Linked DNA regions of Nothobranchius furzeri. Each later gene encodes a partner of the first gene's protein in a complex. Links are inferred from orthologs where the notes say so. Each region holds a gene or a part of one and is shown in the gene's direction. Other genes may lie near its edges.

Region 1 (3,650 bases):
ATTATTCTCTTGCATTTGTCTAAAAACCTCCGCCAATAACACGTTTTAGACCGAAAGCGTCGGACCATCTAGTTGGCCGGTCTCGCCGAACCACTGCACTTCCTCCATTCCCAGGGTTTTCCATTCGTCACACACAAGCGTTTTTGCAACAGAACACCACTGGTGTGAAAGGTTATCAGCTCACATCAGAAAATGAGAAACAGCCGGCTGCTACCACTTTAGGACAAACTACCAGAGTCCCAAAAAGAAGGATGCCGTCTGTTTGTCACGTTAAAAAAGACATCTAGATCTAGAAAATGGGTACTGGTGTTTAGCACTAGTTTCCTCTGGTAATGTGGGTGTCTGGTTCTGGAAGAAGTGTCTTAGGGAAGATGCCTGAGGGGAGGGGGTGTAACGTGACTATGTTTGCGTTTAAAATCTAGCTTGTTCAGTAGATTTGCTATAGCAGCTTTAAAGTAACACTGAGCGGTTTCCTGCTCCTCTGCCCTACAGGTTGAAAGGGGAATTACAGCTGTTCACAACCTTGCTGCAACCTGCTGTAGCTAGTGCTAACAATGAGCAAACACTAACACGAGACAACTAATACTAAAATAAACCACAAAGTAAAACGATCCACACTGTTGGACAATAAACATTATTACTTACAATTCCAGTAGCAACAAAGCCAGGTCACTATCAGCCCTTGATTTTGTAGCCTCCTTTAGCTCCCTCAAACTAGTGTAGGCTGTGCTGATCTTCACTCTGGTTTTAGCTCTTTGATTTGCCTCCAAAGACATTACTCTCTTACTTCCAGGCTCTGCCATGATGGTAACAAAACAGCAAACATCTTTTTTTCTATTGAGGATTTGCAAACTGAAAAAGCTAACTGCTGCTAACTGCTAGCATACCAGCTAACAGCTGTAAAACAGGTAAAAAACGCCCCCAGGACACTCACCTGCTTCACAAAACTGTTAAGTGCAGTATCTGGCCAATAGAGGGTGACAGAGTTGTGTCAAATATGAAAATGGTCAAGTTTCTAACTCAATAATCATGTTAAAGCTCTAGCTTAAAGTCTAATAACTAGCTAGTGTTTAACTTATTTTCTCAGAGTTGCACCATTGCAATTAGAATACTGTCTTCTCAGAGCAGCAAGATAGGCTATCAATGTCCACATATAAGAGTAGAATTAAAACTCAGTGGTTACTACAACACCTATGAATGCATTATCTAATCTTATAAGCATGGATTACCTCCCATTACAAACAATACATTATAGGCTACAGAAATAATTTCTTGTCTCAAATGGAGACCAAAAACATTGTTCTTTCCTCCAAACAGATACTAAAACAGAATTGTATTAACTGATGTTTTCTGTGTTTTTTCAGGATGAAAGCATGTCTAAAGTGGACCTGCCAATCCTCCTCAAGCTTCAGAGAAGGGTAAAGGAACTAGAGGAGGAAAATCGATCACTTTGGCAGCAGCTGGATAAAAGAGAAGAAGCTCAACAGGAAAAGGCAAAAATTACAAACACCTGGGTTTTTTTTGCTGTAAAAACATTAAATGTTATGAATCTGTTTTTAGTTTTTAAAACTAAAAATTGGGTCATTGTCTGTTTTAAACAGGAGGTGGAGGAGCAAAAAACTGTTGGCACAACAGAACTGGACTTAGAAAAGATAAAGGTGAGACTTAAACAGCTGTTTACCATTAGAGATAACTTATCTGTGTCAACATGCTAAAAATGTCAAAAATGAAACCATTTCTTAATGCAGCGACACGAACTTGAGTCTGAGAACAAGAAACTGAAACAGGATCTAAATGAGCTTCGAAAGTCCCTCACCAGTGAGACCAGGGAGTTAGCACCTCCTGCTCCTGGTTCAGCGCCCTACAACCTTTTACTAGAGCAGCTCAATTCCTCCAATGAGGAGCTGGAGATGAGAAAAGAGGAGGTGCTGCTCCTCCGCTCACACATGGTCCGTCAAGAAGCTCTAAAACACAGGGTAAGAAAAAAAACAATCACATCTGCTTTAGTTTTTAATTTTTCTGAAAGAAATTACTGTTTGTGCTAAAATCTTCTGATAAATTAGACAATTACAGAGATGTTGATATAATTTTGTATTTTATGTCTAGGATTCTGTATTTAGAGAAGGTGTGAAGTTGGAACTGAATGAAATTCCTTCATTGCAGGATCATGAAAGGTGGGAAACTTGGTTTTAATTTTATTCCACTTGCTAGTGTTTTTTAAATTGCATTCTTGCGAGACGATCTTGATTATTGTTTAAATTATGCAACTTTCTGTACTTAAATGTTTCTATTTAGAATTTGATATTTTACTTCAGTGTCTATGGGTATGACATTATAACCAAATAGTTAAAACAATTGGTCTTCATTTTTGAGAGACAGAAAAAGCATGTGAAAGCCTCAAACTTGTCAGTAGCTTTTTAAACTCCCAACTAAATGTATAAACTGAAACAAGTAGATGTTTACATGGTGACATTTTCTCACAATGACACAATGCTCTGATTTTAAAGACGGCTTTTAAAAATGTTTTAGCTGCTCATCAGTTTGACGCTCCAGTTTCAGACATTTTTAACTTTTTCATCAGAGACTAGTGTGTTTGTGTTCATGTTCTGTTTGCTCTAGGTCCTCTAACATTCATACACTGAATGAAGATGGAGAGCTGTGGTTGGCTTATGAGGGTTTGAAAGAGACAAACAGGTATTGGTGTAGTGTTCTGTATTTAATGTGTTTAAACATATTCATGTTATGGGGACCTGAACCTTTAGCTTTCGTCCTGCAGACTTCTGGAGTGTCAGATGCAGGAGCAGGAGCGTCTTCACAATGAATCAAACGGGAAGCTTGTGGAGGAGATGAACAAACTGAGGGCTGAGAAGGAGCAGCAGCAGAAGCTGTTGGATCAAAGCCTCCTTCTGCCCGAGGACGCCCGGGTCGATGCAGCCCTGAAGCACGAGATCACACGTCTCACCTCTGAGAACCTGGTGGGTCTGGTCTACTGGGGTTTTATATCCAGGTCTTTTCAAAAAATGTGTATAAATAACTTTTTTTCTTGAATAATTTCAGGAACGAATGGAGCAACAGGAACATCAGGACAAAATCGTACGCAAATTAAAAAAACAGCTTAAATTGTACATGAAGAAGGTGGAAGAATATGAAGGTAATTCAGTGAAACTACATTTCTAGAGTCGTCGTGTTTTTGATGAAGACGCATCATTAATCCTGTTATTTTTAGCGAGTTCTCAGCAGATGAATACTTCCTCTGTGATGAGCACTCCCATCAGGCCGGTGAACATTCCCCGTAAGGAGAAGGAGTTCCAGGGTATGTTGGAGTTCAAGGAAGGAGACACAACCCGCTTGTTCAAGAATCTGATCATAGGTCAGTTTGTTTATAAATAACACACAACAATTAAAGTAGTTAGACTTTTTTTTACCCACTCAGTTTCTTTCTCTTCTCAGATCTGAAGCCTCGTGGTGCAGCAGTCAACTTTACCCCAGGGCTTCCTGCCTACATCCTCTTCATGTGCCTCCGTTATGTAGACAATGTGAATGACGACAAGAGAGTCATCTCTCTCCTGAACTCCACCATCAGCAGCATCAAAGGGGTCATAAAGGTGCAGGTTTTAGCTTTGGTCTTGCTATATAAAAGGACCCGTGTG
Region 2 (3,650 bases), on another chromosome or scaffold:
AACATGTTTTAGAGAAAAAAATGGTAAATGGCCTGTATTTGATACAGTGCCTTTTAGAGTCCTGGAACGCCCCAAAGCGCTTTACAACCAATCAGTCATTCACCCATTCACACACACATTCACACACTGGTGGGGATGAGCTACAATGTAGCCACAGCTGCCCTGGGGCGCACTGACAGAGGCGAGGCTGCCGAGCACAGGCGCCACCGGTCCCTCCGACCACCACCAGCAGGCAACGTGGGTTAAGTGTCTTGCCCAAGGACACAACGACAGTGACAGACTGAGCGGGGCTCGAACCTGCAACCTTCCGATTACGGGGCGAGCACTTAACTCCTGTGCCACCGTCGCCCCCAAAAGACTTGCAGCACAACCAGTGTGTTTGTTTCTGACCACAACCAAAGTCTGGAAGAAGCCTCTGGGATGAGAGGCTAAATGTCTCCAGAAACGTCCAGCTGTTTTCCTACCTGCAGCAGCATTCAGTCAGAGCAGAAACTTAAATGTAGCTGCTGTCAGTAACAATCTAACAGATTTTAAACATTAAAACTCTCAACAGAAATAGTTCAAAAAGGAAATAAAAAATGTTATTTATTATTATTATAACTATTTATTGTGGCAGAAGCTGGTGTGGTCCACCACAGAGAAGCTTTTCTAGCATGATGACTTTAATTATTCTACAGGTTATTGTACGGGGGGCTCGGTGCTGCACACAGACAGCTGGTGTGATCAGCTCTGAAAAGCGTTGATCACAAATTGCAGATCACGTTTATTTTTCACGGAGAAAGGCCACGGATTCCTCTTCCGTCTGCATTCTAGGAATCAAAAAGAAAAACGATTCCGGGAAAAACTAACAGTTAGAACCGGTTCCAATCGATGCTCGATGCCAAACCCTGTTCTCATATACATTTATATGCGGATGACACCTTTGGTAGAGCAGGAAACGCAGGGATGGTAGCCCTCGAGGACGGGAGTTGGTGACGCCTACTTGAGGCAACCTGGAGTTTCATTTTAAAAGTCTGATCAGAAGATGTTTCTGAAACTTCCTGATTGAATCTTCTTCTCCTCCAGAGATTTACCGCATTGTGTCCCAGAAGCAGATGTCTGAGCGCCAGGAGAGCGACATGTCGCCTAGCAACAACGTGGTCAACATCCAGGTGCAGCCCACTGAAAACAAACCAAAGATGCAGTGCTGTCAGAACATCTAGCGCCGCCGTGGACCTGCTGCTACCCCCGCCCCATCCCCAGAGAACAGACTGCTTCGGTATGGAAACATCAAACCGCAGAGTCAAACCTGCAACCTGAACTCTACCTGCCCCACCTTAGTTAACCACCCACCCCCATTGTAAGACTAAGTGCCCCCCCCCCAGCAAAGCCCCATGTCTTTAGGCTACTGCAGGACAGCAGGCGTTTCCTCCCTCGTTAGATCTCCTTCCTGTAGAAGCGCTGACTCGTCTCAGAAACGTCTGAATGTGATTAGCTCCCCTCCTTCATTCCTCCACTTTTTTAATGACTCGTCTCGTATCTTCTTACTATATATAAATATATAAATCTGAAGCACATCGAATTCGCTCTGAAGCATAGTCCTCTGTCCACTCGTCTCCTGTCATTATAGCCCCGCCCCCTCCTATAGTGCAATGTACTGTCTGGAAACCACGTGGATGTATCGAGCGCACGAGCGCCGTTCGATCTGATGTCTGTGATTCTGTTCGCTTTGGGCGTGACTCGGTTTTATCATCACCTCTGCATCAGGTGTCTACGGAGGCCTGAAATGGACAAAAATCAATAAAAAATACATTTAAAAGGCTCAAAACAGTATTAATGTTTATCGATGCTTCTGTATGAATTTAAACTTCATTCTGTTATCAGTGTATTTAGAGCTCTTATTTGTTTCCGTATTTTGTTTTTAATTTACCTTTTAAGTAAATTATTGCACTTTTGAAAATCTGATGTTTTCTTTCATTTTCTCCTATCTTTTATATTTTCATGAGCTTAAATATGACGAGGCCTGTTGGCCGTTCTGGTGTCAGAACTACAGCTGATTTGGAGCTTTTGTGTTATTTTAGCTCAAGGCAGCTAGCCTTGTAGCTTAGAGGCTAAACAGGAAGTGTTTCTGTCCTTTTCTGGCTCCGTTTCAGGATCTCTGTTCGTCAGGAGATCTGAGCCAGCTCTGAGGAACAGACTCCGTCACAAAAGGAAATGGGAATAAAATTAAAGCAGAAATCAGAACAAATAAACACAAAATATAAAGATAAATAAGATAAATAATTAAACACATCTGATGAAAATAAAACAATTTTTAAAATCGGACAGTTTTTGGGCCGTTTTTGAATATGTATATTTTTGTCCTTTTCGGCTGTCCATACACCGCTTCTCATGCAGTGACCATCGCTCTGCTGCACTGCATGCTGGGAAACGACATGGATCTGGGTCAAGGGCAGGACTCCTGAACGTTCCGGTTCCGATGCCTGTGCTGAGATGTGATGAAACCCAAACAAAAGCGATTTAATTTTCACAGATCTAAAGCAGACCTGATTGGGTTTCTGATCCCACCCTAAACAGAACAGGTGAATCCCTTCATGACATTCCTCTGACCCACAGAACCGCTGGCTTGCAAAGATAAAGACTGACCCACGCGGAGGTCCGATTCCTGCACTAAACATCTGTAACTTTGTTCTGGTCAAAGATTAGATTTTTTAGCAGAACCAGAACCACTGTTTTAGAACCAGACTAGAGGAATCGGTCGAGCTGATTCGCAGTACCTCCTGCTGCTTGGCCGCCATCGACCCACATGTTCTGATCCGACCCGATCCTCGTGTGCCGTCACATAAAGCCTACATACACCGAGCTGCCTCTGACTTCCACACAGCGCACGGCTCCACCTCATATCGCCTTACATAGTCATTCAGTCATCAAGTAGTCAGAACCGTGCACGGTCCAACCCGACCCGGTTCGGTCCGGTCTGTAAACCGATGCCTCGCTAATGTCTCAAACCCCTGAGTGTTTGTGTTTAGTTACAGAGGGTAGCTCTGGAGTTTGTGAGCCTGGCTGGTTGTTTGGACCCGCAGCACCGCCAGCCTGACCTCTCCAGAACCAGCAGCTGGTTGACAGAGAATGAGTTCTGATCCAGATCAGTTGATTCCATTGTTGTTTTTTAAAGAAGTGTTTTGATTTTTATCTGGTTGATTCTGTAACTGACTGTAATGAAATGATGTCATTTCACCTAGTTGGAGGTTAATGTGAGAACGGGTCCAAATGGGTCCAAACCAACGCTTTTATGTTTGTACAGATCGATGAATTGTACAATGTGTCAATAACTTAAGTTATCAGTTTATCTTAATAAAGCTCACCAGTCATAAACCAGCAGACTTTCACTTCCTGTTAAACACCAAGTTCCAAGTTTAGAGGTGCCACCACGTCCCAAAGGTTCTGGACTGGTCTGAGATCTGAAGGTCGTTGGGAGACCTGTGAACTCATGGTCATGTTCTAGAAACCAGTTGGGGAAGATGTGAACTTTGTGACATGGTGCATGATCCTGCTGGAAGTAGAAGATGGGTCCATGTGGTCAAAGGGATGGACATGGTCACCAACAAGACTCAGGTAGGCTGTGGCGTTGAAACCAAGCTCAGGTGGTACTGATGGGTCCAAAGTGGGAT
Region 3 (4,416 bases), about 22 Mb from region 1:
TTTGAAAAGTTCTTTCACAATGATAAATGTTCTCAAGTTGTTTTTCCTCGGGAAGTGAAATTCCGCGTGTCACTTTGAAATAAAACTAGATTGTCATTACTTCTCAGAGCTTCATCAGCGGCTGCAATGGAATGAGACTGTGCCAGCTTCTGCAGCTTTGGCTTTGTGGTTTCTTTAAATACGCACATTTGAAATGTGTTTATTTTCCCTTATTCATAAGGAGTATATTAACAAATCAACCACTCTAAGAAAGAAATGTATTTTTTGCGATTTTTATTTAATTTGTTTGGTGCAAAAGTGGGTTATAATGTATTGTCAATTTATAATATTTTAAAAATATCTTGATATTAAGGTAATAAAATGTGTGATAATAAATTATATTGTTTCATTCAAACTCCTGCATAGGCTATGAATTATAATTTAAATAGTTTAGCTGATTTTTGTTTGTAATTTTTGTCACTTTAGTGCTGTCACGTTCTGATTAGGAGGAGTAGGACCCAATATGCAGAGCACCAGACGATATGAGGCAGGAGTTGATATAAAGTAAAAAATCCTTTTATTGTAGGATGAACCAAAATAAATCCAGAGGCATGGAGCCCAAAATCCAGAAATCCAAAAGCAGGAGAACAAAAGCTCAATTAGAGCACAAACTGGGGACTAGACAGGAAGCTCACACAGAGCACCAAAGAACAACGCTGACAAACAACAATGGACCGACAAGAACAATGAGACAATGAGGGCTTATATAGACTGGGAGGAGCAATTAGGGAAACAGGAAGCAGGTGTGTGGAGTGAGGCTGGAGGGAAGGCAGGTGACAACAGTTATCTGGATGGGGAAGAGAACCAGTGGAGGGCAGATAAACCTGACACTATATAAAACACAAAACTAAACCTAAAGACTAAGGGAAGGGCTCACACAAACACATACTGACACACACAAACTCATACACACGTACAATGAACTGGGGAACAAAAGGCTGGGGCTACAACTTAAGACACACAACAGAGATGCAGACAAAGAACACATGAGGGCGCTATGAGAACACAAAAGGAGAACCTGGAGTGGGAACTGGAGGAGCTGGGGAACAAAGGGACACAGAACATGACAAGTGCGTGCCTACATACAAATAAGCTCAACCAAGATGGCCAATCATTTCCCTTATCCTGGGAAACGATAGCCGGTGGACAGGTTTTTTCCTTCCCCTGAAGACCTGTCTGTTGAAATGGTTTTACAGAGCAGCTCTGACAAAAATCCAGAAATCATGAGCTAGGATTGTCTCTCTGACAGAAGCAAAAAGCAACAAGCGTCTTCCTTTTAAAAAGTTTTTACTCACTCATTTCAATTCACAAACCGAAAACACAATAAATAAATTAATTAAAATATAAATAATTAAGTAAGTAAATTTACTTTAAACTGCCGACATCTTTTTTCTTTATTTGTGAAGTTGTCTGATAACAAGACTCTTATATATATATATATATATATATATATATATATATATATATATATATATATATATATATATATATATATATATTGTATTTTAAAGAACATTTTCCAAAACGCCATGGAGTCATATGGGATCTAGTTATGGTTTGACATTTATTTTGTAACTTCACATCGCCTGCTGTTTTATTTTTGAAACCAGAAACCGGAAGTCCATGTTTCCGTCTGCTACCTTGACAACTTGTAACATAACGAGGCGCAGCTGCGGTACTCGAGACCGGGTCGAACAGCTCAGCACACAAATGGCCCCGGTGCTCGAGGAGTGAAGCATGGGCTCCGCGGCATCGCAGTCATGGCCGGATCCACCACCAGAACTACCGAGGACGGGGGTTCCCGTGTGACCGCCTCCACGGACCGCGCGGAGGTTCGGGACCTGGCCGAGCCCTGGGAGCTGTCCCTGGAGGAGGTGCTGAAGTCCTACGAGCAGCCCATCAACGAGGAGCAGGCATGGGCCGTGTGCTATCAGTGCTGCAGCGGACTCCGGGTGCCCCGCCCGCCGCCCGGGAGAGCCAGCCGGGTGAAGGACCCGTCCGCCATCCTCCTCCACAGAGATGGGACCGTTTCGTTACGGGAGGAACCCCGACGCGACGGTAGGACGGTTGCTCCAACTTCTCTCAGCTTTGATTGGTCTAAAAGCAAAGGTTTAATTCAACAGCGCTAGCTTCTTTTGTAAGTTTTCGCTTCAACTTTGACGTGTGCTAAACATGAAAGCTCACGTTTCTATTCGGCAAAGATCAACAACAAATGATCAGCTTGGTTTTATCTCAGGAACGAGTTTCCTTCAGCTACATCTACTGTTTCTGTGTGCCAGTTTCACTCTTTTAAAAGTGAACCGAGCTGTCAGGCTCAATGATATTAATGCGGAATTGAAGGGTCACTATCAGTGTCTCGAAAATACTTCAAATCCTGGTTAGTTTTTCAACAAGCTCAAAGTAAAAGCTGTTTCTTATTAAATTAAATAAATCCCACGTTGGGTTTGGCAGAGATGAACTAGAACTCCAGCGTCCTGCTGCATCCAGACCAACTTGGGTTTATTTACTGGGATTTTTTTTTTGAATAGGAGCACAGTTATTTTTACACAGAACATCTTTGTATCCGTTGATATAAATCGGTGTCTCCCTTCCAATGCCAGAGATGCCGGTAAATGATCAATTATTCAGAGGACAGCTTTAGCTGTGCTGGTGCAAGGACTGTTTTGGAGACTTCAAAGGATGAATGGAAGCCCAAAGGATTTCATGTAGTCTTCTTTTTATTTTATTGAATTCTCCATGACTGTACCATAAAAATCCTCCTGCGTTTGGATTGTTCATGACTCACTGCAGTCCTGGAACCTGCTTTATTTTTTATACTTGAGGACAAACTAGATGTGTCTTCAAATTGTGGCGCACTTATATCCACTTTTACTGCCTTAGGTGACTAATGTCTTAATTCCCTGAATCATTTTCTTTCTGTATTTTATTGTATAGTTGTAAATGTTTGAAGTATTTTTAATTGTGGTGTTGCCTCAGTAAAAACTTCAATTTTTGTCTTATTGACAAGTAGTCATAATAACTGGGTTTGTAGCGCCAAAGTCAGATTCACATTTAAGAATAAACATGTAGATTGTTATGATGATGCAAATTTTCCTCCCAAACTGGATCATAAATCAGAAAAATGCATTCCTTAAATAAATCCTAAACCATTTATATGCTTTAAAAATGTGAAGTCTTTGACATAACCCCATTAATTTATTAATTTTCTTTTAAGTCAGCTGTACATTCCTTGTTTTTCAAAAGAATTTTATTTCTTATTTTAGAGAGCTGAAACCAGAGGGGAGCAGGTGTGCTGGGATGAATACATTTGGGGAGCATTGTCTCCTTGGTGATGCTGTTTATTTATTTTTTATTCTTGTATTTTTTATGCTATTAGTTGAATATAATGTAGATTCTCTGTGATTTAGGGCACGGAAAATAGGATTTAATTCAGGAGAACTAGACTTTCGTGGTTTTTGGGATGCTCTCTTTAGAAAGGCAATATTAAAAGCAGCAACAGGATATTTTCTTTTCCTTTTCGCAGTTCATTTAATCTTAGAAGGACGCCTTTTGCACAGCTGAGGAAGAATAACAAATAATCAAATACTTTTAATGATGCAGAAAATAATCCACAGGTAAACTGAACCTTGCTGTGCAGGAATCAAATGAACGAAACACATTTTATTAGTCAGACAGATGAAATATTTAACAATTAAAACAGCATTCCAGCTGTCCAGGTTTCCTTTTTCCCATCGTCAGTCTGCTGTGAAATCACACATGACTGACCGTAAACACAGGCAGCTTTCGGATGCTGCTGACATCAGCTGTTCCACCGACTCTCCCTGCGAAGAGCACAAATCTGAGCGGAAACAGCCGCTGTAACGTGAACAAAGTGGAGGTGCTGCAGGAAGCTCCTCTGAGGACGAGCTGTTACGATGCCTTCATGAGAAGTGTTCATCAGCCCTCCACCATCTGGACCGCTCATCTTTTTCTGAATTTCATGGACAATCTTTATTTATTTATTTTTTGTGGCCAAAAGTACATTTGTGTTGGCAGATATTTTTGGTGACAGCTCATAACTCCTTCATTGATCCGCTCAAATGTTGAAACCAGTGTTCGGAGGAAGTGGATCCATCTTCTAGAAAATGTCTAAGACCTTTTTTAGAATCCAGGCTCCAAAACATTGGCTCATTTTCTAAAATCAATATTCATTTAATCCTTTTGCAATCATTTCAACACAACATTTCAATGAAATCTGTGTGATCTCCTGTTTTAACTCTGTAAGAGGACAGTAGTGCTTGTGCGGCGTGTGCAGGACTTTACGCCTTCTTAATACATTTATGACAGGTTATCTAATGGAAAAGTATCAAACTGCATTTATGACATCCTCACCGGTGC

The links.
Region 2: the proteins of unconventional myosin-Va (region 1) and rab11a are in contact, whole or in part, in a crystal structure (PDB 5JCZ), measured with the Homo sapiens proteins. The link is inferred for Nothobranchius furzeri from reciprocal best matches to the Homo sapiens genes MYO5A and RAB11A. Residues at the interface, in NP_001369276.1 of Homo sapiens: Ile1660, Gln1661, Trp1738, Met1742, Arg1745, Tyr1746, Ser1749, Gln1750, Glu1753, Arg1756, Gln1777, Gln1780, Val1781, Lys1782, Lys1784, Met1795, Glu1818; in NP_004654.1 of Homo sapiens: Arg33, Glu35, Ile44, Gly45, Val46, Glu47, Phe48, Ala49, Thr50, Gln63, Trp65, Gln70, Tyr73, Ala75, Ile76, Ala79, Arg82.
Region 3: the proteins of unconventional myosin-Va (region 1) and spire2 are in contact, whole or in part, in a crystal structure (PDB 5JCY), measured with the Homo sapiens proteins. The link is inferred for Nothobranchius furzeri from reciprocal best matches to the Homo sapiens genes MYO5A and SPIRE2. Residues at the interface, in NP_001369276.1 of Homo sapiens: Asp1551, Val1554, Arg1555, Thr1559, Ile1562, Asn1563, Lys1566, Ser1597, Gly1598, Leu1615, Thr1616, Asn1617, Phe1618, Asp1619, Leu1620, Ala1621, Glu1622, Tyr1623, Val1626, Asp1629, Leu1630, Gln1633; in NP_115827.1 of Homo sapiens: Arg404, Pro405, Arg406, Val407, Leu408, Leu409, Lys410, Ala411, Pro412, Thr413, Leu414, Met417, Glu418, Met420.

What each region holds. Positions count from the first base shown.
Region 1 is NC_091744.1:64,486,623-64,490,272, forward strand, and holds part of unconventional myosin-Va, read left to right. Parts: intron 1-1,364; coding exon 1,365-1,493; intron 1,494-1,601; coding exon 1,602-1,658; intron 1,659-1,748; coding exon 1,749-1,976; intron 1,977-2,106; coding exon 2,107-2,174; intron 2,175-2,619; coding exon 2,620-2,694; intron 2,695-2,776; coding exon 2,777-2,975; intron 2,976-3,057; coding exon 3,058-3,151; intron 3,152-3,226; coding exon 3,227-3,370; intron 3,371-3,450; coding exon 3,451-3,605; intron 3,606-3,650. UniProt on the Homo sapiens protein: Processive actin-based motor that can move in large steps approximating the 36-nm pseudo-repeat of the actin filament. Can hydrolyze ATP in the presence of actin, which is essential for its function as a motor protein. Involved in melanosome transport.
Region 2 is NC_091749.1:66,753,650-66,757,299, reverse strand, and holds the end of rab11a (ras-related protein Rab-11A), read left to right. Parts: intron 1-1,065; coding exon 1,066-1,202; 3' UTR 1,203-3,357; downstream 3,358-3,650. UniProt on the Homo sapiens protein: The small GTPases Rab are key regulators of intracellular membrane trafficking, from the formation of transport vesicles to their fusion with membranes.
Region 3 is NC_091744.1:86,274,340-86,278,755, forward strand, and holds the start of spire2 (protein spire homolog 2), read left to right. Parts: upstream 1-1,600; 5' UTR 1,601-1,799; coding exon 1,800-2,097; intron 2,098-4,416. UniProt on the Homo sapiens protein: Acts as an actin nucleation factor, remains associated with the slow-growing pointed end of the new filament.